4 linked regions of the Saccharomyces cerevisiae S288C genome follow. The protein of the gene in region 3 binds, or shares a complex with, the protein of the main gene of each other region. Each region holds a gene or a part of one and is shown on either strand. Other genes may lie near its edges. A codon is read from its position in the direction of its gene.

What was found.
Region 1: the proteins of SIN3 (region 3) and EAF3 are in contact, whole or in part, in a cryo-EM structure (PDB 8KC7), measured with the Saccharomyces cerevisiae proteins. Residues at the interface, in NP_014639.1 of Saccharomyces cerevisiae: Phe751 (codon at 3,785), Lys756 (codon at 3,800), Arg757 (codon at 3,803), Leu758 (codon at 3,806), Pro759 (codon at 3,809), Trp782 (codon at 3,878), His785 (codon at 3,887), Val787 (codon at 3,893), Trp788 (codon at 3,896), Asp792 (codon at 3,908); in NP_015348.1 of Saccharomyces cerevisiae: Asp242 (codon at 3,815), Lys243 (codon at 3,812), Pro379 (codon at 3,404), Asn380 (codon at 3,401), Arg381 (codon at 3,398), Ser382 (codon at 3,395), Asp383 (codon at 3,392), Val388 (codon at 3,377), Asn389 (codon at 3,374), Thr390 (codon at 3,371), Ser391 (codon at 3,368), Ser392 (codon at 3,365), Glu395 (codon at 3,356).
Region 2: the proteins of SIN3 (region 3) and SDS3 are in contact, whole or in part, in a cryo-EM structure (PDB 8HPO), measured with the Saccharomyces cerevisiae proteins. Residues at the interface, in NP_014639.1 of Saccharomyces cerevisiae: Ser661 (codon at 3,515), Leu662 (codon at 3,518), Asn663 (codon at 3,521), Val666 (codon at 3,530), Lys809 (codon at 3,959), Glu813 (codon at 3,971), Glu816 (codon at 3,980), Tyr817 (codon at 3,983), Tyr820 (codon at 3,992), Ile821 (codon at 3,995), Leu825 (codon at 4,007), Arg826 (codon at 4,010), Ile828 (codon at 4,016), Gln829 (codon at 4,019), Cys830 (codon at 4,022), Glu832 (codon at 4,028), Thr833 (codon at 4,031), Asn836 (codon at 4,040), His857 (codon at 4,103), Lys869 (codon at 4,139), Val870 (codon at 4,142), Tyr871 (codon at 4,145), Arg875 (codon at 4,157), Glu878 (codon at 4,166), Ile879 (codon at 4,169), Ala882 (codon at 4,178), His886 (codon at 4,190), Val889 (codon at 4,199), Thr890 (codon at 4,202), Val893 (codon at 4,211); in NP_012182.1 of Saccharomyces cerevisiae: Arg18 (codon at 2,840), Ile21 (codon at 2,831), Glu22 (codon at 2,828), Val25 (codon at 2,819), Leu75 (codon at 2,669), Glu76 (codon at 2,666), Val78 (codon at 2,660), Arg79 (codon at 2,657), Leu82 (codon at 2,648), Phe83 (codon at 2,645), Tyr86 (codon at 2,636), Arg90 (codon at 2,624), Ile93 (codon at 2,615), Glu94 (codon at 2,612), Ser289 (codon at 2,027), Lys291 (codon at 2,021), Thr292 (codon at 2,018), Ala293 (codon at 2,015), Pro294 (codon at 2,012), Pro295 (codon at 2,009), Leu296 (codon at 2,006), Gln297 (codon at 2,003), Ser298 (codon at 2,000), Leu299 (codon at 1,997), Pro301 (codon at 1,991), Glu303 (codon at 1,985), Val304 (codon at 1,982), Thr305 (codon at 1,979), Asp307 (codon at 1,973), Ile308 (codon at 1,970).
Region 4: the proteins of SIN3 (region 3) and RCO1 are in contact, whole or in part, in a cryo-EM structure (PDB 8HXX), measured with the Saccharomyces cerevisiae proteins. Residues at the interface, in NP_014639.1 of Saccharomyces cerevisiae: Ser661 (codon at 3,515), Leu662 (codon at 3,518), Glu665 (codon at 3,527), Val666 (codon at 3,530), Tyr675 (codon at 3,557), Ile676 (codon at 3,560), Leu681 (codon at 3,575), Thr683 (codon at 3,581), Glu684 (codon at 3,584), Lys687 (codon at 3,593), Ile688 (codon at 3,596), Asn690 (codon at 3,602), Leu691 (codon at 3,605), Gln694 (codon at 3,614), Asp695 (codon at 3,617), Ile696 (codon at 3,620), Leu697 (codon at 3,623), Asp701 (codon at 3,635), Lys705 (codon at 3,647), Asp707 (codon at 3,653), Phe708 (codon at 3,656), Tyr709 (codon at 3,659), Gly711 (codon at 3,665), Ser712 (codon at 3,668), Glu749 (codon at 3,779), Gly769 (codon at 3,839), Ser790 (codon at 3,902), Glu791 (codon at 3,905), Asp792 (codon at 3,908), Ser793 (codon at 3,911); in NP_013791.1 of Saccharomyces cerevisiae: Lys82 (codon at 5,124), Leu84 (codon at 5,118), Leu85 (codon at 5,115), Ile93 (codon at 5,091), Ile94 (codon at 5,088), Lys95 (codon at 5,085), Leu96 (codon at 5,082), Glu98 (codon at 5,076), Pro99 (codon at 5,073), Ser100 (codon at 5,070), Thr101 (codon at 5,067), Ser103 (codon at 5,061), Glu104 (codon at 5,058), Lys107 (codon at 5,049), Ser109 (codon at 5,043), Val110 (codon at 5,040), Thr111 (codon at 5,037), Leu113 (codon at 5,031), Pro114 (codon at 5,028), Leu115 (codon at 5,025), Asn116 (codon at 5,022), Lys117 (codon at 5,019), Gly118 (codon at 5,016), Pro119 (codon at 5,013), Ile123 (codon at 5,001), Lys124 (codon at 4,998), Glu126 (codon at 4,992), Ser127 (codon at 4,989), Leu128 (codon at 4,986), Trp129 (codon at 4,983).

What each region holds. Positions count from the first base shown.
Region 1 is NC_001148.4:605,494-611,582, forward strand, and holds EAF3 (Eaf3p), read right to left. Parts: upstream 4,539-6,089; coding exon 3,333-4,538; downstream 1-3,332. Other genes in the region: SDD4 (Sdd4p), read right to left, coding at 1-1,819; i-AAA protease YME1, read left to right, coding at 4,988-6,089. UniProt on the Saccharomyces cerevisiae protein: Component of the NuA4 histone acetyltransferase complex which is involved in transcriptional activation of selected genes principally by acetylation of nucleosomal histone H4 and H2A. The NuA4 complex is also involved in DNA repair.
Region 2 is NC_001141.2:200,369-206,272, forward strand, and holds SDS3 (Sds3p), read right to left. Parts: upstream 2,892-5,904; coding exon 1,908-2,891; downstream 1-1,907. Other genes in the region: YIL086C (uncharacterized protein), read right to left, coding at 1-93; KTR7 (putative mannosyltransferase), read right to left, coding at 122-1,675; phosphopantothenate--cysteine ligase CAB2, read right to left, coding at 3,188-4,285. UniProt on the Saccharomyces cerevisiae protein: Component of the RPD3C(L) histone deacetylase complex (HDAC) responsible for the deacetylation of lysine residues on the N-terminal part of the core histones (H2A, H2B, H3 and H4).
Region 3 is NC_001147.6:315,404-324,880, forward strand, and holds SIN3 (transcriptional regulator SIN3), read left to right. Parts: upstream 1-1,534; coding exon 1,535-6,145; downstream 6,146-9,477. Other genes in the region: DNA-directed RNA polymerase II core subunit RPB11, read right to left, coding at 410-772; palmitoyltransferase PFA4, read right to left, coding at 6,455-7,591; IZH2 (PAQR-type receptor), read right to left, coding at 8,008-8,961. UniProt on the Saccharomyces cerevisiae protein: Catalytic component of the RPD3 histone deacetylase complexes RPD3C(L) and RPD3C(S) responsible for the deacetylation of lysine residues on the N-terminal part of the core histones (H2A, H2B, H3 and H4).
Region 4 is NC_001145.3:412,294-419,348, reverse strand, and holds RCO1 (Rco1p), read right to left. Parts: upstream 5,368-7,055; coding exon 3,313-5,367; downstream 1-3,312. Other genes in the region: sister chromatid cohesion factor PDS5, read left to right, coding at 1-3,153; YMR075C-A (uncharacterized protein), read left to right, coding at 3,296-3,661; SDD2 (Sdd2p), read left to right, coding at 5,876-6,313; IRC21 (Irc21p), read left to right, coding at 6,476-7,055. UniProt on the Saccharomyces cerevisiae protein: Catalytic component of the RPD3C(S) histone deacetylase complex responsible for the deacetylation of lysine residues on the N-terminal part of the core histones (H2A, H2B, H3 and H4).

The sequences.
Region 1 (6,089 bases), on a different chromosome or scaffold from region 3:
GATGTAAAAAAGACCTTTCATGTAAATACCTGTTCGTACTTGTTTTTTCATATCCTTCGACTAATAATAAACTTTGAATGATGTAGGTTTTAGAAGGTGGTTGAAAATCAGCATGAGAAAAAATTATCCATCTTAGAGGACCACAAATTGGGTCACTAATCTGTTCACGATACTCGCTTCCCAAAAAACTTGCGCCAGTCATAATTAGTGCCAAATTCAAAATTGCAGGCTGTTTATCAACGTGAAAAGAGGGTTTGTGAAGCAGACCGTATTGTGGATGGAAGTTCAACCAGAAGGATTTTAACGATTTGTGTATAGATTCAATAGAGACATAGCGTAATTCTGGAACAAATGAAAACATTTCTTGACATTTTTCTTTTGATATCTTATACTTTGTTAAGGGATCCGGATGGAAAAATGACGGGACACTTTTCATAGAGTGACGCAACTGTTCCTTGTAGTTCAGAGAGGAATTGTTTCCTACTCCTGAATCTTTAGATGATCTCCGTTTTAGCTCGTTGATATTAAGCTTCTGACTGGAAAGATTGTCCTTCACTGAAGTACTGGGGTTATCGTTGAACTTCGGTTGTGCTTTGGGAATTTTAATGTTATCTTGTGGTAACTCAAACATAACTGGAGGATTCTGGAACCCTTCGTCTTGTTGAACAGGTTTTTCATTAGGTGGGATTGTATTCTTGTCAGAAAATGTATCTTCAATACTTACTTGCGGGGCTTCAGAAAGTTCTTGCATGAAAGATTGTAATGGGTCGCTGTTCAAAAAATTTGTAGAAAAAAGGTCCTGCATAACTGACAAATTAGCACCGCTAGAGGAAGATGTTAATGGATCTCCAAATGGATTCTGGGGTGGTAATTGTTGTTGTTGTTGTTGTTGCTGTTGCTGTTGCTGTTGCTGTTGGGCAAGCTTTTGCTGCTGAAAGTACTGTTCCTGTTGTTGATCCTGGGTAAGTGGCTGGAGTGGCTGCTGATATGAACTACTTGCAAAATTTCTGTCTTGATATCGTTGCTGCTGCACGGCTGGATTGATATTCATATTTTGGTCATTGCCATTACCGTTGTTATTCGCTGCATCCACTTCAAAACCATTAACGCCTGTACGGTTATCAAATATCAAATTAAAAAATTGATTACCATTTTGACCGTTGTTCCTTATTCGAGGATCATACGATGGAAAAGTAGGACTTGCTTGCTGTGGATGCATTTGTTGCTGCAACATAGGTTGTTGCAATGGTGCCCGCAGTTGCTGCGGGAATTGAAGTTGCTGCAGTTGTTGAATTTGTTGTGGTTGTTGTGATTGCTGAACCTGTTGAGGTTGTTGAGCCTGTTGAAGAAAAGGACGAAATTTTGATTCTTGTGTGATAGATGGTGGTGGATTCACAGAATTTTTTATTAAGTTAATCGTAGAAGTTCCACTTTGCGTAGAAAGGGGTACTTCACTGGGATTATATGGTGCATTTTTGGAGAAGTCCTTATTTGATGAGGAAATCTGGTCCTTGCTTGGCCGACTTAATCTGTTTTTCACCTTTGAATGCCTCTTTTCATGTCTGATCAGTAAATCTTTCCTTACAAACGTTTTATTGCAAGGCGCATTTGTAGTAGGAAGCACGTAAGAACAAACATATATCTCTTTCGGCCAGTGGTTTAGCTTGTGTCTTGATAAATGTTCCTGACGTGAGAAAGTTTTATTACATTCGGGATGTGGACACCTAAATCTTTCAGCAGGAGAAGAGCTTGAATTTGGTGATAAATCGTTATCATTTTCCCTTTTCCGGAGCCTGCCAGCCAACTCTTTGCCGTGCATTTTTGCCAATATTAAGAGCTAGCTTCACTGCTTTATTGGTCACTTTTTATAATTATAAACATAGTAGATGAGTCCTAGAATCTCAATACAGCCTTTAAAACTATTAAAGAAGCTGTTCGCAACTCACAAAAAAAATAAAAAAATAAAGCAGAACGAAAAAAAAAAAAAACAAAAAAAACAGTTAACTATTCTAATTACTTAGAATCTTTAAAAGTCTTACTGTAATTCGATCAGTGGAGAAGGAAAGCGCACATGTGATATCTCGCAATTTCTTCTCAAACTACCTTGACAGTAATTTTTCTTAAAAACGATTGGCTCCTACATGAAATCCACGAAAAAGCACGGTAGTCTTGTTAGAGGACACTGATATACGAGGAAAGAATTGATAAAGCGGAAGGTCTTTGGAAACAATTCAAGACCGATGACATAACTTTTAAGAGGTAGGTGGGGAAGCCCATATGGAGAATTTTAAAAGCAATAGGGTGCTCGCTTCCAAGCAAATTAGTACTTTTTTTTTTTTTTTAGCAGGAGAATAAAGCTTCAAGCTAATGCACTAGAGTTCGAGGTGCATCATTTCAGTTTTTTTTGCTAGGGCATAATTGATCAGCCTGTTAAACTCATTGCATAGTCAGTAAATTTACAATCCCCGAAAATAATGGTTCCCTTAAATAAGCGAGTTAAGGACTTTTTTTTTTTTTTACAGCAGTAGACCAACCTGTACATGTTTCATAGTCAAGTAATAGCCTGACGAATATCAAACGTTTCCTCTTTTTCATTCCTTTCCTTCAAATGCCTTGGGTTGAAAGGATAGACGTGTATTTAATGCAAGCTCTATCTATAATGAGTGTTATTACAATTGTTATGCTTCTGCATTGAGCGATGAATAAATATAAACAACTCCTTTTCGAACAACTTGTAATTATCCTACGCTTTTGCCTGAGGTCCTTTTTAGCCATTGACAACAAGCAAGTGTCTTTCTGTATGAAGTAAACCCTGCATAAAGTTGTTTTTTGCTGCGTCAGAGGGTTAATGACTTCGAAAGACCCTTTTCTCATATAAGACGCGCCACAGAAGAATGCGCACGACAACGGACTATTTTAGATTATATAATGGCGCGTGTGATGCTGCTTTAATCATGTTGCATAGACCATGCAATTACACTAAAAATATAAAACAAGGAGCCCTGGACAGAACTTGGTAGTGTGCAAACGAGTAAGTGAAGATGATAGTACATTATATACGAAGCTCTTAGTAAGCTCATACTAGATGCGAAACGATGGATACGTCAGAAAAATAACAAAAATAAAATATAATCATTAATGATGTTTTAACTCGACAAGCCCCTTTCAGAGCTGCCATTACCCTAAGAACCTTGCAAAGAGAATAAACTTGAATTTCGTAAAGTGCCACGAACAGTGTCCATATTCTTACACGAGATATTCTGTGAAGAGTTATTGCATAAATACGGAAGAACTAAATACTAGAAATAATCCCAAGCTAGAATATAAACGTCTCACATACCTAAAGCCACTCCTTCGTATTGGCTAGACGTATTTACATACAGAGCATCGTCACTTCTATTTGGATCCTTGTCATTGAAGTATTCGTCCACATGCATCAACAACCAAACCAAGAAGTCTTCGGTTTGTTTGATTAAAAGCTGACAGCTTTGTAGATCCATTGTAGTAGACGAGATCAGCTCTGGTAAAACACTTATCAACCTTAACAGATGGATAGCCCCATAAATTCTAATTGGTACTAGTGGCTTTTGATCCTTCGATGATTTTTTCAGAAGTTCGTCATATTGCAGCCGTTCCAACCTATATAAAAGCATATTACCCAGGCACTTGTCAAAATACAACTTGAGACCGGCACAGTATTCGCTCAACTGTGACTGGGACCCTGGCGATTCCAATTCTTGACTCACTTCATGTTCGTATTTATTCAGTACCATCTCTACCGTCACATCAGCGGGTAGTCTGCAAATTTTTTTGTCCTTCGTTACGTATTCCCAATCGTCGACTAACACGCTCTTCAATTTTATGGGAATTTGAAGGGAAATCTTGGGGGTTGGATAGCCGGCAATATGATGTAGCATATTTGGCGATAGCGAAGAAGATCTTCTGCGGTCATCATTCCCATTTTGGTCGGATGACGAGCGCAAAGAGCTGCCAGGATGGAGGGAATTAGCGGAACTTCTTCCGCTTTTCCTGCCGCTCACTGAAGATGTTAAAAAACTCTGTGAAGTGCTCTTACTTATACTAGCATTCGAGCGGCTGTCTCCCTTTCTTTTTCCACCATTACTAGGCCCTCCCAGACTAGTGGAGAGCTTCTTTTTTTTCTGCTGTTCCAGTAACGATTTCTTAGCTTCTTTCGCCTCGTTCGCCAGTCTTTTTTTCATGGCAATATTCTCTTCATTGTAGGCCCGTATCCTATCATATCCAACCCACTCATCCCAACTCGACTTCCAGCCTTGGTAATGTATGAAAAAACACTTCCCATTAATGATCTCTTCTGGAATGCTTTCATCTTCTCCCAGCTTTTGTGGCTTTATTTCCTTAGTTGCTTGTGAACTACCACCTGGCTTGTCATTAGGAATGCTGGTATACATTTTCGAAGATGGATCCCATATTTTCAAGATCTTTGCTTCATACATAAGAGGACCATGGAATGCCAGACACCGCCCACCGAGCGCAAATTCCTGCTCCAAATCAACCATTATACGTTCTTCAATAGGGTAAATCCAGTGACGAGGCCTCACAGATGCTAATGCAAAATGCTATATGCTTTTAACGACTGTTTTGCAATATACCCTTTTACGTTTCTGGTCGGGATTTCGGATGCATCTTTATTTTCATCTTTCGTGAAATGCGATATGTGGCGATCGCCGGAGGAACGGCCCCCAATCTTCGCCACCTTTTTCTATCAGCATCGGTTGGTTAGTAATCTCGAATCACATGGTACCTCTTTCTTCGAGGAGTGGTAGCTCCTGTACGCTGTAGCGGTAGTGAAAAGGCAATATATCGGAGTTGGTGAAGTGAGTTAAATCTCTACCTTGCGTTTTTGATAAGTAAAAAGCAAGCACAGCTTAAAGGATAAACAGGATTTTATTGAAGCAATTTTTAATTATAATACATTGTGGATAGAACGAAAACAGAGACGTGATAGATGAACGTTTCAAAAATACTTGTGTCGCCCACGGTCACGACAAATGTTTTACGCATATTTGCTCCCAGGCTACCTCAAATCGGTGCTTCTTTGTTAGTTCAAAAAAAATGGGCCTTAAGATCAAAGAAGTTCTACCGTTTTTATTCTGAAAAGAATAGCGGTGAAATGCCTCCTAAGAAGGAAGCTGATAGCTCTGGAAAGGCATCCAATAAATCCACGATATCTTCAATCGACAATTCGCAACCACCACCTCCATCGAACACTAATGATAAAACCAAACAAGCGAACGTAGCTGTGTCACATGCTATGCTAGCAACTAGAGAACAAGAGGCCAATAAAGACTTAACGAGTCCTGATGCACAAGCAGCCTTTTACAAACTTCTCTTACAATCAAACTACCCGCAATACGTGGTCTCTAGGTTTGAGACCCCCGGTATTGCGTCATCGCCTGAATGCATGGAACTGTACATGGAGGCCCTGCAGAGGATAGGCAGACACTCGGAGGCTGATGCCGTTAGACAAAACCTACTGACAGCCAGCTCTGCTGGCGCAGTTAACCCATCATTGGCGTCATCTTCATCAAACCAGTCAGGTTATCATGGTAACTTTCCATCGATGTATTCTCCGCTTTATGGATCTCGCAAAGAGCCACTACATGTTGTCGTATCTGAATCAACTTTTACTGTTGTATCGAGATGGGTAAAGTGGCTGCTTGTTTTCGGTATCTTAACCTACTCTTTTTCTGAAGGTTTTAAATACATCACAGAAAATACAACGCTACTAAAGTCGTCAGAAGTAGCCGACAAATCAGTTGATGTAGCTAAGACAAATGTTAAATTTGATGATGTCTGCGGTTGTGATGAGGCCCGTGCGGAATTGGAAGAAATTGTTGATTTCCTGAAAGATCCAACTAAGTACGAGTCCTTGGGTGGTAAACTACCAAAGGGTGTACTGTTGACTGGACCTCCTGGTACAGGTAAAACTTTGTTGGCTAGGGCCACTGCCGGAGAGGCTGGTGTAGATTTTTTCTTTATGTCAGGTTCTGAATTTGATGAAGTTTACGTCGGTGTTGGTGCTAAACGTATCCGTGATTTGTTTGCTC
Region 2 (5,904 bases), on a different chromosome or scaffold from region 3:
AACAAACTTAGATGTGGTCCGAAGACTGTTGAGTACACCGCCAGTTCGTAGATATCTGGAGAAGTTGGTAGACTCTTTTATAATTTTGTTCATACGTATAAATGTATAGAAAACACTGTATCTATTCAATTACTCTAAAATTTTCTCTTCTGATCTCTTCAATCACGTCTTTGTCCTTTATGGAGGGCTTGTAACAACCAGGGAATTCCTTCTCATATTCCCTGCCGTGAAGCAATTCAAAAAAAATATCCATGCAAGGGGTGGAGTGGTCTTCGATGTCTTCACCTTTCTTGGGGCACACGCATCGACATCCACATCCGAAGTTATAACCTTCATCGAAAGTGTTGAGATTTTCTTGGCTTTGTAAGGCATTCTTCGGACAATGCTGCAGCGATGAGTGTCTATAACCAATGTCTCTGAAATAATGAACGTCTTCTAGATCCAAGGTCATTCCCAACCCAATTGAATGAATTGGCGCGTCACCCCACCTTTCAGTCCAGAAACCTCCAGACTCTTCCAAAAATTTAAAATAGGCGTTATAGATCTCATTGTCGAATAAATCAACGCGGGCAATTTCAAAGTTACTCCAAAAATGACACAAATTGTAATCTTCCCCTTCAAGGGAATCCTCTAGCATTGGCACCTTAGAGCGGGCCCTTTCAACGAGATATTGTATACCTTCCAAATCTTCCTCATTATTGACTTGACCATGATTCTCTAGCAAAAAGTCTACCATCAACTTTTCTGTCAACTTTGGCTTTGCATCCCAGGGAAAATTGACCCACCTAGAAATTTCTTCATCATCTGTATCTAGAATATTATAATTAAATGTAAATAATTTCCACAACGTGCCGAGATTTTCCTTTAAACCTGCCGTTTTTTTTATAAAGCTTTTGGTTGTTCTGAACAAGTTGGGGACAGTCCAGTACAGTTCAGTTATAAGTACGGTAAACCCATATTTCTTGTTATGTTTGGCCATCTCGAAAAAGGGATCATACGAGATGTCACAAAAAAAGTCCACATCAGGTTCTATTCTCCAATACCATTCATACTTGGAAACTAATGGATGTTTATAAAAGATCCCGGAGTAAAATCGACACATCTTGTGATATGATTCCATATTACCATACATTATACCGCGATCGTTTTGGTCTTCTAATGAAGCCTTAAACTGCAATGAATTACGAACCTTAGCAGGAAACTCCCACATAATTTCATCAACAGTGCCAAACTCTACAGTGGCATTAGTTGCAGCTTGAATTTGGTCCTTAAAATGATCTGTAAAGGGGTCATCATTCAAGAAAACGTACGGATATTTGAACCACTTATTGAAATGGCCCTCTATACTTCTCATAGTTTTCAGTACGTCTTCTATTTCTTCGTTTCTCGTTAGCATAACGAAAGATGCGTTCATTTTGGAGTAAGCAGGATTTTGCAAGTACAGCTTTGTATCAGTGCAGCCCCGGAAAAATGGCTCGTCTTTGTCAGTCGAATAATCCTGTAAGGAATAAGGCAAATTATTTGGATCATGTACAATATCTTTTGCGAAAAATGGCCAGGTCCCCATACAGTAAAGTATGGCGAAGATACATCCTAAAAAGAGGAAACCATATCGTTTTTGTCGACACTTATCCAGCAAGAACCTTCTGACTTTTGGATTCAATCTTATAGCCATGCTAATTGCATCTAATTATGATGTATATTCTAGCCCTTCTTTGGTACAACTGTGCCTATAATCACAGATTGTTAGCCTGATGTATACAGTAAATTTTAGCCAATTTTTTTTTTTCGTTTTCCACTTGTATCCGAGAAAAGAAAGCAAAAACAAAAAGAGCTCACATTGAAATATAACCATCTAATGTAATATAATACAAAGTTAAAGTGGAAGGTTTGCAGCATAAAATAAATTAGTCAGACCTTAGTCTGAAAGGAGCCGGAGGCTGACCTGTTAATTCTCTGATCAAGGAAATATCCTCTGTGACCTCATCTGGTTTCAAAGACTGTAAAGGTGGAGCTGTTTTGGTGGAATATCGTTGAGCACCACGGTTTTTTTTCTTTTCATTCCCATTAGCATTGTCTTTGGGGTTCTTTTCGCCAAACAAAAATGCATATAGATCAGTACCTTCATTTATACCTTGTAGAAAATCTGAGTCAGAGTTCATGCCTGACTTGTAGGTTAGGTTGTTGAAATGGGGGAATTGCGACCCTTGTCTAGAACCATGGCCATTACTTCCAGAACCATTACCAGTTTGAAAATCAGATTCATCTTGATTGTTGTTGTTACCTCTCGTGTCTTTAGAAGCATTCCTTCTCCTTAGCGTTCTTCTATCGTTTCCAGCTCCCGTGTCAGTAGCACTTTCGTTTGCTGTATCTCTTCCATATTCGTTGGACGAAGAATCCCAACCACTTACTGTGTGACTTCTCGTGTTCTTCTGGTATTGCGGTCTGCTATAATTCATGGCATAGGAGTGCACATTGGCCACATCCATTAGTAACCTCTCCTCCTGTAATTTCTTTATTTTTTGCTCTATAGACGAATACAGTCTTTCTTTGCATAATTTAATGAGTTTCTCGTGTTCAGCCTTAGCCTTTTCAATATCTTCTTGAAATTCGATACCGGAACGAGAAACACGGTACTCTTCAAACAGGCGCAACCTGACTAACTCTAGATCTCTTTCTTCCTCCAAATCTCGTACTTGGCGGGCATATTGGCCATTATCACCTTGATGCAGAGAAGTTAAATCCGTTTGCAATGCTGTCAGTCTATCTTTATATTGATTATCTCTTTCTGAGTAAAAATTTTGATAAATCTTATTAACTTTAGATTCGATATTAAATCTTCTTTTGTCCTTGCGGGACAAGTCCTTGTTACTAACCTTTTGAATAGCCATCAATCTTGAAGACAATGCACACTGAGCTCTACAGTTTCTCTTGTTCTCTTAAAGCTTTTCCAAGGGTTCATTTTAGCTGAAAAATTGTTTGCGTTTTTTCTTCCTGAAATCTCAAGCGAAATGATCAATACATAAGCTAAATTAAATAATGAGAAAAAAGATACCTGAAAACATAATTAAGGCATAGAAGAAAAAGATTTGATAAAAGATAAATTTTCAGTTCAATAAAAAGGTTTACATACATCTAATTTTTTTTTTTGACGCAAATTTTTTTGATTACAGACAAGAGCTATGTTTTATTTCGTAGCTAGCTTAGTTTTCGAATGCGCCACCCATTTGTCATGGCGTGCGATGACTTCTGGGATTATCATCTCTTCAATGCTATGGTGTTTTTCATCCAAACGTACCCAATCTCCCTTTCTGTTTTCAGGGGATACGAAAATGACCTGTTTGTTTCTTGTCTGTAAAAGGTTTCCGATAACCAGTTGATGGTTGTATCTATCCAGGGCTTGTGTACATTTGTAAAGCAGCATGGATTCATCAGTTTCTAATTTGAACGAAACGATCATCGCTTGAGTGGCCCATGATTCCACTAATCTTCTCAAAAACTTAGGGACAGGGTCAAGATTCACAATCAGTTTACCATCAGGCGTAGTCCTAGTTGTACCTTCAGTGTCATTATTTGCTCCCATCTTACCGTTGTCTCCTGATTGAATCTTGTGCTGAGGTAGTCTTGAATATGGAACAAAAAAATCACTGACAGCAGCAGCTAAATAAAACAAGCAACCACTATTATTCAATAGCTTGGCTATACTTTTCAGTGACCATAAGTATTGGTTGACCGTGGTGAATGGTAGTAAAAGTAGTTTCTCCTCTTTCTCCATATACTTGTCATAAAGCTTTTTGTTCTTCAAAACATTCTCAGCAAATTCAGGTTTGATTTTACCTTCAGAATCAATGTAGTCCAAGAATAAAGTATTAATGCTATGGGAGAAGGACCTATTATACGGAGTTAATGAGAATTCCCTATGTAAGAAAATAACACTATATCCGTTCGCTAAGAACTGTTCAGCACTCGATGCACCACGAGTACCTGCAGAAAAATTATCGATAAAACGTACTGTATTGTTTTCCAATGGAACAGTAGTACCACCAGAGGTGATAAGAACTATTTTGTTCCTTTTCAGGGAATACTGCAAATCAATAAACTCTTTAGCGTCCTTAATCAATTCATCGATATAGGCAGGTTTAGGGTTAGTTTTGAAATATTGCTCTTCTTCAGTAGTGTAGGCAACGGGAAAGAGCTCTTCCTTGATTGTACGATCAATTGCATGACTTATTTCAGTAACAGACGTATGAATTTGAGGTCTGTTGAGCACGGGTAGAGGTGGCATTGCTATAGTATGAAGAAAAAAAGGAGTGTCTGCTGCTAATCTACACAGTTTATGACAACTAATAAAAGCGTTGTGTGCGTAATTGTCTTAGCCTCTTATACAGATGTCCTGTTGATGACAATGCCTTTAAAAAAAAAAAAAAAACGTTAACAATAGGTCACTCCTCCAGTTTTTGTCGTTTGGCGAATTCGGGTCATCGAATTCTTCCCTTGCCAATAAAGTTGGTGGAAAATACCCAAAACATCGCCTACATATCAAATCCGCAGATTTCAGGCACGCAATTTAGAGCCTACCATCTGTTCATAGTTAGGTTAGGCCATAGGTGGTCATCGTCGCCTCTACTTTCTTAGCATAATCAGGTTTTTTTCTTGATTTTTTTATCATAAATTGTAACTCCGATTTAAGTAGAAGTGAAAAAAAAAATACCCTGTTAATTGTCACAGCATCACTTCTTCCTGTTACTTTCAAAGCTGTAAAGTGTTAGCATCTTTGTGCAAGAAGTAATAAGAATTTAATTGTTAACAGGGTTTGTAGCACTGGTATACGTTTTTCCATATCATGGAACATGTTGTATCTCAAAATGAGATATGTCAGTATGACAATACGTCACCCTGAACGTTCATAAAACACATATGAAACAACCTTATAACAAAACGAACAACATGAGACAAAACCCGACCTTCCCTAGCTGAACTACCCAAAGTATAAATGCCTGAACAATTAGTTTAGATCCGAGATTCCGCGCTTCCACCACTTAGTATGATTCATATTTTATATAATATATAAGATAAGTAACATTCCGTGAATTAATCTGATAAACTGTTTTGACAACTGGTTACTTCCCTAAGACTGTTTATATTAGGATTGTCAAGACACTCCGGTATTACTCGAGCCCGTAATACAACACCTGGTAGCGTTAAAGGTTACTAATTGTTCAAACGAACCATCGAAAAGCCGAACCTAGCTACACCACACCCCAGTATGAGCTTTATGGATCAAATCCCAGGAGGAGGAAATTATCCAAAACTCCCAGTAGAATGCCTTCCTAACTTCCCGATCCAACCATCTTTGACCTTCAGAGGTAGAAATGACTCGCATAAACTGAAAAACTTTATCTCCGAAATAATGCTAAACATGTCTATGATATCTTGGCCGAATGATGCCAGTCGTATTGTGTACTGCAGAAGACATTTATTAAACCCCGCTGCTCAGTGGGCTAATGATTTTGTACAAGAACAAGGTATACTTGAAATAACATTCGACACATTCATACAAGGATTATATCAACATTTCTATAAGCCACCAGATATCAATAAAATCTTTAATGCAATCACGCAACTTTCCGAAGCTAAACTTGGTATTGAGCGTCTCAACCAACGATTCAGAAAGATTTGGGACAGAATGCCACCAGACTTCATGACCGAAAAAGCTGCCATAATGACATATACTAGGCTATTGACAAAGGAAACCTATAATATTGTCAGAATGCACAAACCAGAGACATTAAAAGACGCCATGGAAGAGGCTTACCAGACAACCGCACTAACTGAAAGATTCTTCCCAGGATTCGAACTTGATGCTGATGGAGACACTATCATCGGTGCCACAACCCACTTACA
Region 3 (9,477 bases):
TTTCGAGCTCTGCCCTCCCTTTAGATTTTTTTTATTTGCTGTTTTAATACTATAAGAATAGGACTCAGGTAATTAGAGTAACAGAGAAAACAAAAAAGAATATTGCGCTCGTGTTAGTGTTGAAACAAAAAAATACAGTTGTTCTTTACGTGCATCGATCATATAAGAAAAGGGAAAAAAGCCGTAAAGTAAAAAAATAAAGAGCTTTCCATGGCTGGTTTTTTTTCTTTTTTTTTTTTTTTTTTGAAGACTACAGCAGGTATTACCCGGAGTGAAAAAGGTTTCTCACACTAAAATTTACGTGTTCAAGACATTGAAGTTATGTATAAATATATATGAGCGTATATTATGTGTATGTCCGTTTCCATTCTGTTTAGATTTTATGGCTATAGTATTAAACTCCTATATATCAAAATGCGTCGTCGGCGGCTAGAGTTTGCAGGTTCCACTCGGTTTCGAAATTTGTCTTCAGGGCGCCAAGCTTGTTAATGATGCTGTTACAGGCGTTTTTCAAGGCATCCTTCGGGTCGTAGCCCTCGGTGGTCTGTATTCTCAGCTTGAAACGAGCGAAGAAGGGATGCTCAACCTTGTAAGCGGCAAACAGCACTTTTCTGTCGTTCAGAAGTTCTGCACGAATCAGGTTTCCCAACGTGTGGTCCTCCTTCTCAAACGTTATCACTACTGCGTTGGGGGCTTTGGTGTCGGGGTCAATCTTTAGCTTGGATTCCCCTTCACCCAGAAGGAACAGTTCGAATCTGTCTGGAGCATTCATGATGCAGTTGTGTCCAAATGTATCTGGTTTGGTGGCTACGTAGCTATCTATTTAGGCTGCACGGCTCAGTTCTCTCGCTCTTCTTTTAACGGACCTCTTGTGTGTGCCAAAGCAGTGAACCTAGAATTTTCGCGGACACTTCCACTTTATTAAGTCCGGGTAATGATAATATTGAGCTTGCAAGTTTTTTGAACTCGGATAGCAGCATTATCCATGACATGACACGGATCTACCGACGAGGCTTACCGACGAGGCTTACCGACGAGGCTTACCGTGATCCCTCTCCAGTAGTCTGTAAATTCTGTTTATAATTTAAAAAATCTATCTTCTACTCCAGTCTTGTAACTACTGTTGTTACGCGCTGCCCAGAGTGTGGCACACACTGCGGGGTTACCCGTGTAACGTAGAATAAACCAGTACGGGTAATGATATCGGATTTTCTAGTGATTTTTTTCCATTCGCAAAAAAGTCGCCTTCATTTTGCAGTTCTTCAGCAAACGTGATTTGCAAAACAACGGTTACTCCCCTTCCCTATTACATTTGTCTTCCCTTTTTCGCACCAGCATTGCTAATATTCGAGGCACCGTACCTAACTAATCAGCTCATTCACGTACCACATATTCTTTGTTACTTCCCTCCCTCCACAACAGGCTACGCTATTGACCGCTTTCAGTATAGTCTCTTTACCCTTTTGTTGTGTTCGTTTGAGGTTATTTGGAAAAGGACAAAATATCTAAGAAACAAGTTATACATTGTACAAAAATGTCACAGGTTTGGCATAATTCGAATTCGCAATCAAACGATGTGGCTACTTCAAATGACGCTACGGGTTCCAACGAAAGAAACGAAAAAGAACCGTCCCTCCAGGGAAATAAGCCCGGTTTTGTTCAACAGCAGCAACGGATTACTTTACCCTCGCTATCTGCCTTGAGTACTAAGGAGGAAGATAGAAGAGATTCCAATGGCCAACAGGCTCTAACTTCTCATGCTGCTCACATATTAGGTTATCCTCCCCCACATTCAAATGCTATGCCCTCAATTGCAACTGATTCAGCATTGAAACAGCCCCACGAGTATCACCCTCGCCCTAAATCTTCGTCCTCTTCTCCCTCTATAAACGCTTCGCTTATGAATGCTGGTCCAGCTCCCCTCCCCACAGTGGGAGCCGCCAGTTTTTCTTTGTCGAGATTTGACAATCCATTACCGATAAAAGCTCCTGTTCATACAGAGGAACCAAAAAGTTATAATGGTCTTCAGGAAGAAGAAAAGGCGACGCAACGGCCTCAAGATTGCAAGGAAGTTCCCGCTGGTGTGCAGCCTGCTGATGCCCCTGACCCTAGCAGCAACCATGCAGATGCTAACGATGACAATAATAACAACGAAAATTCTCACGATGAAGATGCTGACTACAGACCTCTAAACGTGAAGGATGCCCTATCTTACCTCGAACAGGTCAAATTTCAATTTAGTTCGCGTCCGGATATCTATAATTTATTTTTAGATATTATGAAGGACTTTAAATCTCAGGCAATAGACACACCGGGCGTTATTGAAAGAGTATCCACTTTGTTCAGAGGTTATCCAATTTTGATTCAAGGGTTCAATACTTTTCTACCCCAAGGCTATAGAATCGAATGCTCCTCTAATCCGGACGACCCCATTAGAGTTACTACACCAATGGGTACTACGACAGTAAACAATAACATCAGTCCATCTGGTAGAGGTACAACGGATGCACAGGAACTTGGTTCTTTTCCAGAAAGCGATGGAAATGGTGTTCAACAGCCCTCCAATGTGCCAATGGTGCCTTCGAGTGTGTATCAATCGGAACAAAACCAAGACCAACAACAATCTTTGCCTCTTTTAGCTACTTCTTCTGGTTTACCTTCAATTCAACAACCTGAAATGCCTGCACATCGCCAAATCCCACAAAGTCAATCTTTAGTGCCTCAAGAAGATGCTAAGAAAAACGTTGATGTCGAATTTAGTCAAGCCATAAGCTACGTTAATAAAATTAAAACTAGATTTGCCGACCAACCTGATATTTACAAGCATTTTCTGGAAATACTACAAACTTATCAGCGAGAGCAAAAGCCAATAAACGAAGTCTACGCACAAGTGACGCATCTTTTCCAAAATGCTCCTGATTTACTAGAAGATTTCAAGAAATTCTTGCCGGACTCTTCAGCTTCTGCCAATCAGCAGGTGCAACATGCTCAGCAACATGCTCAACAACAACATGAGGCCCAAATGCATGCACAGGCACAAGCTCAGGCTCAGGCACAGGCACAGGTGGAACAACAGAAGCAGCAACAGCAATTCTTGTATCCAGCTTCGGGCTATTACGGCCATCCTTCTAACCGAGGTATTCCACAGCAAAACTTGCCTCCTATAGGAAGCTTCTCGCCTCCAACAAACGGTTCGACCGTACATGAAGCCTATCAGGATCAACAGCACATGCAACCACCCCACTTCATGCCCTTACCATCGATCGTTCAACACGGGCCAAATATGGTACATCAAGGGATAGCGAATGAAAATCCACCTCTATCAGATCTAAGAACGTCTCTCACTGAACAGTACGCTCCTTCTAGTATACAACATCAGCAGCAGCACCCGCAAAGTATTAGTCCTATAGCAAATACGCAGTATGGTGATATCCCTGTTAGACCGGAAATTGATTTAGATCCTAGCATTGTGCCTGTGGTCCCTGAACCCACTGAGCCCATCGAAAACAATATATCGCTTAATGAGGAAGTCACTTTCTTCGAAAAGGCCAAGAGGTATATCGGCAATAAACATTTATACACTGAGTTTTTGAAAATTTTAAATTTGTACTCTCAAGATATACTTGATCTTGACGATTTAGTGGAAAAGGTAGATTTCTACTTGGGTTCCAATAAAGAACTATTTACGTGGTTCAAAAACTTTGTTGGCTACCAAGAAAAAACCAAATGTATCGAGAATATTGTTCATGAAAAACATAGATTGGATTTAGATTTATGTGAGGCATTTGGCCCAAGTTACAAGAGGCTACCAAAAAGTGACACTTTCATGCCATGCTCAGGTAGGGATGATATGTGTTGGGAAGTCTTGAACGATGAATGGGTTGGACATCCTGTATGGGCTTCCGAAGATTCGGGATTTATTGCTCATCGTAAAAACCAGTATGAGGAAACACTATTCAAGATCGAAGAGGAAAGACATGAGTATGATTTTTACATTGAATCAAATTTAAGAACTATTCAATGTTTGGAAACAATTGTAAATAAGATCGAGAACATGACTGAGAATGAAAAAGCCAATTTTAAACTGCCTCCAGGTCTTGGCCATACTTCAATGACTATTTATAAAAAAGTGATAAGGAAAGTTTATGATAAGGAAAGGGGGTTCGAGATTATTGATGCTTTGCATGAGCACCCTGCAGTGACAGCCCCAGTCGTTCTGAAAAGGTTAAAGCAAAAAGACGAAGAATGGAGAAGAGCTCAACGTGAATGGAATAAAGTTTGGAGGGAGTTAGAACAGAAGGTTTTTTTCAAGTCATTAGATCATTTAGGCTTAACATTTAAACAGGCTGACAAGAAATTATTAACTACAAAGCAGTTGATATCAGAGATTAGCAGCATCAAAGTTGATCAAACAAACAAAAAAATTCACTGGTTAACTCCTAAACCAAAGAGCCAGTTAGATTTTGATTTCCCTGATAAAAACATTTTCTATGATATCTTGTGTTTGGCTGACACTTTTATAACCCATACCACAGCCTATTCTAATCCCGATAAAGAAAGATTGAAAGATTTACTAAAATACTTCATCTCTTTGTTTTTTTCTATTTCTTTCGAAAAAATCGAAGAATCGTTGTACTCCCATAAGCAAAACGTGTCAGAATCTAGCGGATCTGACGATGGCAGTTCTATTGCATCAAGGAAGAGGCCCTATCAACAAGAAATGAGTTTACTTGATATTTTACACAGGAGCAGATATCAAAAGCTAAAGCGTTCTAATGATGAAGATGGCAAAGTTCCCCAGCTCTCTGAACCACCCGAAGAAGAACCTAATACCATTGAGGAGGAAGAGCTCATCGATGAAGAAGCTAAAAATCCGTGGCTAACTGGGAATTTAGTGGAGGAAGCAAACTCTCAGGGTATTATCCAAAATCGCAGTATTTTTAATCTATTCGCTAATACGAATATTTACATATTTTTCCGTCATTGGACAACGATTTATGAGCGGCTTTTGGAAATTAAGCAAATGAATGAAAGGGTCACAAAGGAAATCAACACAAGGTCGACAGTTACTTTTGCCAAAGATCTAGATTTATTATCGAGTCAACTTTCCGAAATGGGACTAGATTTTGTTGGTGAAGACGCGTACAAACAGGTTTTAAGACTGAGTAGAAGGTTGATTAATGGGGATCTTGAACATCAGTGGTTTGAAGAGAGTTTGCGGCAAGCTTACAATAACAAAGCGTTTAAACTCTATACAATTGATAAAGTCACCCAATCGTTGGTAAAGCATGCTCATACCTTGATGACTGACGCTAAAACTGCGGAAATAATGGCTTTGTTCGTTAAAGATAGAAATGCCTCCACCACGAGTGCGAAGGACCAAATTATCTATCGCTTGCAGGTGCGCTCACATATGTCCAACACAGAAAATATGTTTAGAATAGAGTTTGATAAAAGAACTCTGCATGTTTCCATTCAATATATTGCACTTGATGATTTGACACTAAAGGAACCAAAGGCAGACGAAGATAAATGGAAATATTATGTAACATCGTATGCTCTGCCACATCCAACAGAAGGCATTCCGCACGAGAAACTGAAGATACCATTTTTGGAAAGGCTCATCGAATTTGGACAAGATATTGATGGAACAGAGGTAGATGAGGAGTTTTCCCCCGAAGGCATCTCTGTATCGACATTGAAAATTAAGATCCAGCCTATAACCTACCAACTGCATATTGAAAACGGGTCTTACGATGTTTTTACCCGTAAGGCTACTAACAAATATCCTACTATTGCTAATGATAATACTCAAAAAGGAATGGTTTCTCAGAAGAAGGAGTTGATATCAAAATTTCTAGACTGTGCAGTTGGTTTGAGAAATAATTTAGATGAGGCTCAAAAATTAAGTATGCAAAAAAAATGGGAGAACCTAAAAGACAGCATAGCAAAGACGAGTGCTGGAAACCAGGGAATAGAGAGTGAAACCGAAAAAGGTAAAATTACGAAACAGGAGCAGTCGGATAATTTGGACAGCTCTACTGCAAGTGTACTGCCTGCATCCATTACTACTGTACCACAAGATGATAATATAGAAACGACTGGGAATACTGAATCTTCAGACAAGGGGGCTAAGATTCAATAAGTAGTTTTAACTAGATTTAGAACAAAAATCTTTAGTACGACAGGGTCTTTCTTCTGATGTGTACCTTTAATTAATGTCAACGATATAACATTGTAATTTTAAAATTCTAAGTGTTTTTGAAGCTTTTTAAGACACATCGATCTTTCCATAAAGGAAGAAGTGATAACATGCAGTGGTTATATTTGTGTACTCATACACTGGTGCATGAATCTTTTTACACGTCATTAGCATAGTATGTAATCGAAAGGACACTATTTATAAGGGACAGTTTATACATACATATACTTGATATTCCCATGAATGAGTATTCTATTCCATATCAACATCCACTCCAAAATCGTCTAGTGATTCACCCCAGTCGTTGTACCACTTCTCACGAGAAGCATGTCTGCCATTTTGAGGAAGTCTGGTCCTTATTAGCTGTTCGCCACTTTCATTACGCATCTCTATTGTTGAGCTGCCATGATTGAAGACGGTGTTTGTTTTACCTCCATCTGGTGGCCAGGGAAGTGAAAGGATGTGGTCTTCCAATGAGGAGTTAGCCTCATATTTTGAAATACCGTTTTTTGGAAAATTGTTCCCATCTCCCGTAGGAACACCATATGGCCATAACCATAAATGAATGGGACCAAGGTACAGTAATGCATTAGTGTACAAATCAAAATCGTAAGGGAAATTTACAAGTTCATCAAAACGTGGCCTTTTTTTTGTCAAGTGTTCCTCAGCATCCTTTTTATTTTGAAACGACCTCGACTCTGGATATATTCTCCAAGTATTATCAATTAATTTCTGAGTTAATCTTCCGGAGTTGAACAAAGATTCTAGCCGATCCATATCCCACGACTCAATTTGAGATCTTCCATTCAAGATTTGATTGAATAAACATCGTAGGAAAAGAATTGTTATCGTTAGTAGGACAAAAGAATTTAAAGGACTCGATATTGTTAAGAAAATCAGTTCTGATTTTTTGAAGAAGTAGCCAGGCAAGTGCCTTTGTTGCCAAATAAAATATATCCGCTTAGCTTGTATGCAAAATAAAACACTAGTCGTCACTATGATCCAAAATAAGAATCTAAGGAAATGCGGATAGTTTGCAAAGCCGACGCAATTCATCGTCCACGGACAATGATGATCCATCATTAGGACGCATTGATTGCAGGTTTTACAATGATGTGAACGTTCTGGCTTATAACTTTGGCACTTCTTACAGAAATTCCGCCAGATATCAGGGGGTGGTTTGTAGTTGGGCAAAGGCCTTCCTGGATTTGTGCAGATGGCCAAGTAATAGGAGAGCCATATCATTGACAAACAGAACTCAAATGTTATTTGTTTCGGAACTGACAAGAAATTGGATAAAATAAAGTAGTGTGCACCATAGCCTATAAATGAAATCAGAAACGTTGGTATAGCAATTCCTAACCAAGGCCACCTTAACTTTACTGGCATGGTTTAACGATCAACTCAGTTTTTAAAATTCATGTTATACACCATCACCACAATGTAGGGACGATAATTATCGTATCTCAGATCCGCTATTTTTCATAAGCGCGTAGTAAGAGAGGTAGGTTTAACAGGATAATAAAAATATACATGAGACAGCCAATAAATAGTGGAAATAAGCCGTATTTTAAATTGAGAGCTCTTAGTAAGAAAAATGTTCCTCTGAGACGCTAAAGTCGTGTATATTTCATATGAGAAAGTGCACAAATCCTGCTTCCCTTCTATCTGGGAATTTCTTTTCTATATTTGAACATATTATTGTAAGGGCCTTTTTCTTTATTCTCTTCTCACATATAAGAACCATTTTATTATTTTAACTTTAAAACTACTTTCTATATAAATCCTACGTTTTTTCCAAATATCTAGGAGACAATCCCGTTCTCCATCTTTATATGGACTAACTCATAACTATTTAATAAACCTCTCAAGTGGCACAATGCCGCAATAACAACTAGAAAATGGAAAAGTTGGTGAGAATGACCCCAAATATCAAATTTACCGGGGCAAATCTTTTCAGGAAACCGCATTCCATAAAGAACAGCGCCAATTATATATAGGACACCCCCAAGTAATACCCAAAAGAGCTGAATTTGGGTCCAAATTTCTGAAAAACTATAGCAGTAAAGGCCGCTGAATATTGGAATAATTGAGGATAAACCAAAACAAACAAATAGCCCAGCTCTGTAAGGTCTCCACTCTCTTTTCCGAAACTTATCTTTTAGTGACACAATACTACACGCGATCCCAAAGCTAACGGTAATAAGCGCAAATAGGCAAAATAGGGAAAATTTCTCAAAATAGCCGTAGTACAAAATACTGACCATTGACGTAACAATCAATATACAAATACCAAGGTAGTCCAACTTATTTCCTAAGGTAGCAATTCTTAAGGAGTGACTCTTTAGACAATGAAAGGAGCTACTCAATATTAAACATGCAAACGCCCCCGAATAAAAGAGGTCGATTACCATATGATCTAGCCATGTAGTTGTTGCAAACACTTTGATAGTAGATTTATCTAGCAACAGTACAGTGAAGAACCCGAGAGCAGGAATTAAATGTGAATAAATATTGACACTTTCATTATGCAAATAAAACAAACTTTTAAAAGTTTCAATGAAGCTACTAGTTTCTTTCACGTATCCATGTAAAATAAAATCATTGTCTCTTTGCCATTCCGGAATTTCATCCCAACTATATAGCCTTCTTAGTACTTTTTTAGCTTTAGCGACCTCTGCGGGATTTGCGGATGTTTTCCCTGCAGCTCTCTTCTTCAGCTCTTGCACACTCTTAGTCCTTTCTAATAAAGTTGACATTTGGAATGATTCTTCTCCAACATGCAGCATAATTAAAACGACGGGAAATTTAGTACATTTGGCTCAAGGAACGCTGACATAAATACTATTTCTAATCTACTATTCGAAGAGATGTTGGATTTCTAAAAAAAAAAGAGCTCAACAACGGAAGACCGCCTATTAACCCCGAGTGTCTGTTTTTTAGTATACTCGAAGCAAACAAGAAAAGTTTGTTACTTAATTTCTGGCCTAAACAAGGTAGTGCTACCCTAGAGGAAGTACGATATCAGTACACTTTTGTATTTTTAACGAATTATGGTATTCTTTAAAATATTTAACATGCTATCGAGTTTTTCTTTCTAAAATGCGGTTTCAAAATTTGAGTCCGCTTTCTATGGAAAATATGAATGAGGCGAACGTGCTTGTACCATAGTCAGATTTTAACCCGTAGGTGAGAGCCTGAGGCTTCTGTAAACCACCTTGGAAACACATACGGGTTATAAGATTTTAACAAACAATCAGTCTCCATACTCATCC
Region 4 (7,055 bases), on a different chromosome or scaffold from region 3:
TCCAATAGAATGAGTAGACATCTAACTAAATACTATTCCGAGATTATTCATGAAGCAACTAATGATGACAATAATTCAAGACTTCTCACTGTGGTAGTGAAATTACATAAACTGGTATTGAGACTTTGGGAAACAGTACCCGAACTGATCAATGCAGTAATCGGATTTATATACCACGAATTATCTTCGGAAAACGAGCTTTTCAGAAAAGAAGCTACAAAATTAATTGGTCAAATACTTACCTCATATTCGGATTTAAATTTTGTTTCTACACATTCCGATACGTTCAAGGCATGGATTTCCAAAATTGCTGATATTAGTCCCGATGTTAGAGTAGAATGGACAGAATCAATTCCTCAAATCATTGCCACGAGAGAAGACATATCCAAAGAACTGAATCAGGCACTGGCAAAAACCTTTATTGATTCTGATCCTCGTGTACGCAGGACTTCTGTTATGATTTTTAATAAAGTTCCCGTTACTGAAATTTGGAAAAATATAACCAATAAAGCCATTTATACATCTTTACTTCATTTGGCCCGAGAAAAACATAAGGAGGTTAGGGAACTCTGCATTAACACTATGGCCAAGTTTTACTCAAATTCATTGAATGAGATCGAAAGGACATACCAAAATAAAGAAATTTGGGAAATCATAGACACCATACCATCCACTTTATACAATCTCTATTATATCAATGATTTAAACATCAATGAACAAGTCGACAGCGTAATTTTCGAATACCTACTACCGTTTGAACCAGATAACGATAAAAGAGTCCACAGACTGCTAACGGTTTTGTCACATTTTGATAAGAAGGCATTCACTTCATTTTTCGCTTTCAATGCAAGACAAATCAAAATATCCTTCGCTATATCCAAATATATTGATTTTAGTAAATTTTTGAACAATCAAGAAAGTATGAGCTCGTCTCAAGGTCCTATTGTAATGAACAAGTACAACCAAACTCTCCAGTGGTTAGCTTCTGGCCTTTCTGACTCTACGAAAGCAATCGACGCCCTCGAAACAATAAAACAATTTAACGACGAAAGAATCTTTTATTTATTAAATGCCTGTGTCACCAACGATATTCCGTTTCTTACTTTTAAAAATTGTTACAATGAATTGGTCAGTAAGTTACAAACGCCAGGACTATTTAAAAAATATAATATATCTACTGGTGCTTCCATTATGCCACGTGATATCGCCAAGGTAATACAAATTTTGCTTTTTAGAGCCTCACCAATAATTTATAATGTATCCAACATCAGTGTTTTATTGAACCTATCTAATAATTCTGACGCAAAACAATTGGATTTGAAAAGAAGAATCTTGGATGATATATCGAAAGTCAATCCCACATTATTTAAAGATCAGATTAGAACATTAAAAACCATTATCAAGGATTTGGATGATCCAGATGCAGAAAAAAATGATAACTTGTCATTGGAAGAAGCTTTAAAAACCCTTTACAAGGCTTCCAAAACATTAAAGGATCAAGTGGATTTTGACGACACGTTTTTCTTCACCAAATTATACGATTTTGCAGTTGAAAGTAAACCAGAAATAACGAAATACGCCACAAAACTTATCGCTTTATCGCCCAAAGCTGAAGAAACTCTGAAAAAGATAAAAATACGTATCCTACCTTTAGATTTGCAAAAAGACAAGTATTTTACATCTCATATTATTGTACTCATGGAAATATTTAAAAAATTCCCTCACGTCCTAAATGATGATTCCACTGATATCATATCATACCTAATTAAAGAAGTTCTATTATCAAACCAGGTCGTTGGTGATTCAAAAAAAGAAATTGACTGGGTAGAAGATTCTCTATTAAGTGACACGAAATATTCTGCAATAGGTAATAAGGTGTTTACTTTAAAGCTGTTCACCAACAAATTGAGATCAATTGCTCCGGATGTTCCACGAGATGAATTGGCAGAAAGTTTCACCGAAAAAACTATGAAGTTATTCTTTTACTTGATTGCAAGTGGTGGTGAGCTGATTTCCGAGTTTAACAAGGAGTTTTATCCCACCCCCAGTAATTATCAAACAAAATTGAGGTGTGTGGCAGGAATTCAAGTTTTAAAACTGGCCAGGATTTCTAATTTGAACAACTTTATCAAACCTTCGGACATTATTAAATTAATTAATTTGGTTGAAGATGAATCGCTGCCAGTAAGAAAAACATTTTTGGAACAACTGAAAGATTATGTTGCTAATGAACTGATTTCCATAAAGTTCCTACCACTAGTATTTTTTACTGCTTATGAACCAGATGTCGAACTGAAAACCACAACGAAGATATGGATAAACTTTACATTTGGCTTAAAATCATTTAAAAAAGGGACGATATTTGAAAGAGCTTTGCCTAGGTTGATACATGCGATTGCACATCACCCTGATATTGTGGGAGGTTTAGATTCCGAAGGAGACGCATATCTAAATGCTTTAACAACAGCGATTGATTATTTGCTGTTTTACTTTGACTCTATTGCCGCCCAAGAGAACTTCAGTTTGCTCTATTATTTATCAGAAAGGGTAAAAAACTATCAAGATAAGTTAGTTGAGGATGAAATTGATGAAGAAGAAGGACCACAAAAAGAAGAAGCGCCAAAGAAGCATAGACCTTACGGTCAGAAAATGTATATCATAGGTGAGCTGTCGCAAATGATTCTATTGAATTTAAAAGAGAAGAAAAATTGGCAACATTCAGCATATCCAGGTAAATTAAACTTACCATCAGATTTGTTCAAACCTTTTGCAACGGTTCAGGAGGCCCAGTTATCTTTCAAAACATACATACCAGAGAGCTTGACTGAAAAAATACAAAACAATATAAAAGCTAAAATCGGACGGATTCTTCACACGTCACAAACTCAAAGACAAAGGCTTCAAAAGAGGTTATTAGCTCACGAAAACAATGAATCACAAAAAAAAAAGAAGAAAGTTCATCATGCGAGATCACAGGCTGACGACGAAGAAGGTGATGGGGATCGAGAATCAGACAGTGATGATGACAGTTATTCACCGTCTAACAAAAATGAAACCAAGAAAGGGCACGAAAATATTGTGATGAAGAAATTGAGGGTCAGGAAAGAAGTTGACTACAAAGACGATGAAGATGATGACATCGAGATGACTTAGAAGGGAAAAAAACATCAATTGCTATGTTGTAAATGGAAAAAAAAGGAAAATAGGTAGATCTCTCACTTTAAGATGCGATACATATGCCTATGTATGTGTGTATATATGTAAGGAAGGTGTTCACGTTCCTGATTTATTCTTTATGTATGTACGCCGTTTCTATTCGGATTGGTTTTCGGGATTTTCTATGTTTAAAAATTTTAACAGTTCTTCCTTTGGTTTGGATTCGATAATCTTCTTTAAATATAACAGATGCTTTATTTCATCGCTGGAAAAGTCATTGAATTGTATAGAATCTAGTTCGTTCGGCACGACTACGTTAGTCAGTTCTTTCAAATCCCATAATTTTCTTAAGTTATTGCTTTTGGAAGCCGATTTATTGTTACTACTCTTGTCGTTGTTGCTAACTTGGAAATATATTAAAGAGGCTATGTCTTTGACCATATTATCCTCGCTATTGCCATTTTGGGATCCATTTGATACTAACTTATCTATTAAACTTTCTTGAAATTGAAAGAGTTTTCTTTTTTGAACCATTTTTGATTTGTAAATTTTATCAAAAAAATCATATTTAATGGAATTTTCATCTATTTGTGTAATTTTGAAATCTTGATTGAAATCATAATCTGTATGACTAGTTGTTGGTATGATTTGAATGTTCCCGTTATTTTGGTAGCCTATTTTTTGTAAAGGTTCATAATAAAGTTGGTTTTTCTTGTTTATCAATCGTTGTTTTTTCCACACCTTATAATTTACGCTATTATCTTCTTGACAATGGTGTATCTTTTTGTAAACTTTAGTTGGGGAATGTAGAGGACATTTCCATTTTGAACCTAAGTTCTTGAAAGAAGCCCTCGGTACACAATCCAAATGCCATGGAGTCTGACAATAATCACAAGTCATTATTAATCTTGAATTTTCTGGATGAGACCATGAACCTAGTCTGGTTTGATTGCATTTGTAACAAATTAAAAACTTACCTGAATTTGAATCTATATGTGTATCCGGGTTGTAAGAGTCCAATTTAGTTATGCTTTGGCCATAAGAAGTGTTAAACAATTGTCTATCAGTTAATGGAATCTTATCATTCTCATCAGAGTATTGTCCTCTCGAACCCGTTTTCACAGCAGGAAAGGTTTCTTTTATATAATTTGGTAGCTGGAACTGTTTTGGGTTGTGGGAATCGATATTGAAAAGTAATTTAGCAAAAATCTTGACGTTGTTATTTTGCTTAATGAAGTTGGATTCAATTTTTTTTAAAGTTGCCATTGAGTTATTTATGAAGATTTTAAACTTACATTCATTACAATGCCAATCACCTTTAGGCAGGTTGTTCGGATCAATTGGTGGGTCTAAGCAAAGAAAGTGAAAGGATTTGGGGCATGTATCACAGCATAAAAAAGAACCTGACTGATTACAAGCCGAACAAAAATCTTCATTCTCAAAATCTATGGTTGAATTGTTCTTGTCCCTGAAAATTTTTTCACTCGCATTCGATGTTGACTTGATGGAATTTTGGCCAAATAGTTTACTTTTTGAATCATAGGTAGCATTCGTTGAAAGTATTATTTTGGTTCTAATATTTGATAGCTTTTTATTATCGCGGTCGCTTTCAGGTTCACGGTCACGAGTTCTGTTTATTATATCGCCATTCCAACCAATAGTTGACCGTATATTGCTCTCTTCAGTCATGTTCTCAGTTAAAAACGTTTTCAAATCATTTCTGTTCAAATCCTGAAAATTTTTCGGCACCTGAGTAAATCTTTTACTGGGGACCAGCGTCATTTCTGAGTTGTTCGATTGGCCTCCCAAATTTTTTCTATAATTCCAAAGAGACTCTCGCTTGATTTTCTCAGAAGGACCTTTATTTAACGGCAATCCAGTGACAGATACCTTCGAATCTTCCGAGATGGTGGATGGCTCATTAAGTTTGATGATATTACCCTTGGAGTCCTTTTCAAGAAGTTCCTTGGGTTCTTCTTCCGGGATATTGTCTTCAACTGCAAGATTGCTATGCTCGTTCTTGAATGATCTTTCTATACCTTCAGAAGTGATGATCTTTCTCCTTTTCAAATCGTAATTTACATTCTGGGAGGATAGTCTCTTAGGACGTTTTTTCTCTTTGGAAGAAGATGAAGAGAGAGAAGAAGATGAAGGAGAAGAACTGTTGGAATGTGAGGGCGACCTAGTAGTATCTTTCTTGCTGGTGTCCATTGTATTATTATTAGCAGATGGTAATGGAAGTGTCTTTTATAGGTTTTTCTATGGTGATTATTCTCGTTTATACTTGGTATTCTTCTTCCTTCCTCTCGTGCTTGTTGCAAATGTTCAAACGCGTAGTGGGTACGTCGTTCTCTACAAAGGAATGAGGCAGATCTTGCAGCGAGCTACTAAAACTACCACTTATGGGTTAACACGATATATATGTATTTATATCTACTAATATGGTATTAAGGCTCAAAAATAACCTTGCAACAGAGAGCAATAGTATAATTTCCTACATGAGGAAGAAAGTTGCCTATTATGGTGAGCAGGTGAAATCCTAGCTGCGAACGGGAAACTTATTCGGACGAGAAACAGATGAGAAACAGATGAGAATTTTTGGGCTGGGTAAGCGAGAATTTTTATACCACTTGTGGTTCTACAAGGAGAACCAAGAGTAAAAGTTGAAAAATCTTCTTGCTCTCTGGATTACAATTCAGGAGGAAGTGTGTGCTCAGATATGGACCCAGAGTTACAAGCTATTAGGGAAGCCAGATTGGCTCAGTTGAAAAACAACAGTGGGGGTACCAACGGCGATAGAAATAGCGGTGCTAATAATGGTGGAGGTGAAAATTCCGCTCCCGTTGGTGCAGCTATTGCAAATTTCTTGGAGCCACAAGCTTTAGAAAGATTATCTCGAGTGGCCTTGGTCCGTAGAGACAGGGCCCAAGCAGTAGAGACATACTTAAAGAAACTGATTGCTACAAACAACGTCACTCATAAAATCACTGAAGCTGAAATTGTTTCAATCTTGAATGGTATCGCCAAGCAACAAAATTCACAAAATAACAGTAAGATTATCTTCGAACGGAAAGATTTCAGCGAAGATCTGAATTCATTTGACAAGCAGAATGCTAAAAATGATGACGACGAAGATGATGACGACTTCTTTGATTAGTTTATATAAACGAATAATATGTTTTTTCGTATAATGTTACATTTAGTACAAATCATATCCTTTATAGAACTAGAGTTAAAGTTACATTAATTATGTGTAGCAAAAGGACGAATAAGCAGAATATAACATATTAGCAGGTGCTTAGATTACACTCATAGAGATATGAGTAGTGACGGCATGAACAGAGATGTTTCAAACTCGAAACCAAATGTCAGATTCGCTGCTCCTCAGCGACTAAGCGTTGCTCATCCTGCCATATCATCCCCGCTGCATATGCCCATGTCGAAGTCGTCAAGAAAGCCTCTTGTAAGAACCAAAATAAGACTAGATCCTGGGCACAGTGCTCTGGACTGGCACTCTCTAACCTCCAATCCAGCGAATTATTATACAAAATTCGTTTCGCTACAGCTTATCCAGGATTTACTCGATGATCCGGTATTTCAAAAAGATAACTTCAAGTTTTCACCTTCACAACTGAAGAACCAATTGCTTGTCCAAAAGATACCCCTTTATAAAATAATGCCACCCTTAAGAATAAACAGAAAAATCGTAAAGAAGCATTGTAAAGGTGAGGACGAGTTATGGTGCGTTATAAACGGCAAAGTCTATGACATTTCTAGTTATTTGAAGTTCCATCCAGGTGGTACGGACATCTTAATAAAGCACCGTAATAGTGACGATTTGATTACATATTTTAATAAGTATCATCAATGGGTTAACTATGAAAAATTATTACAGGTTT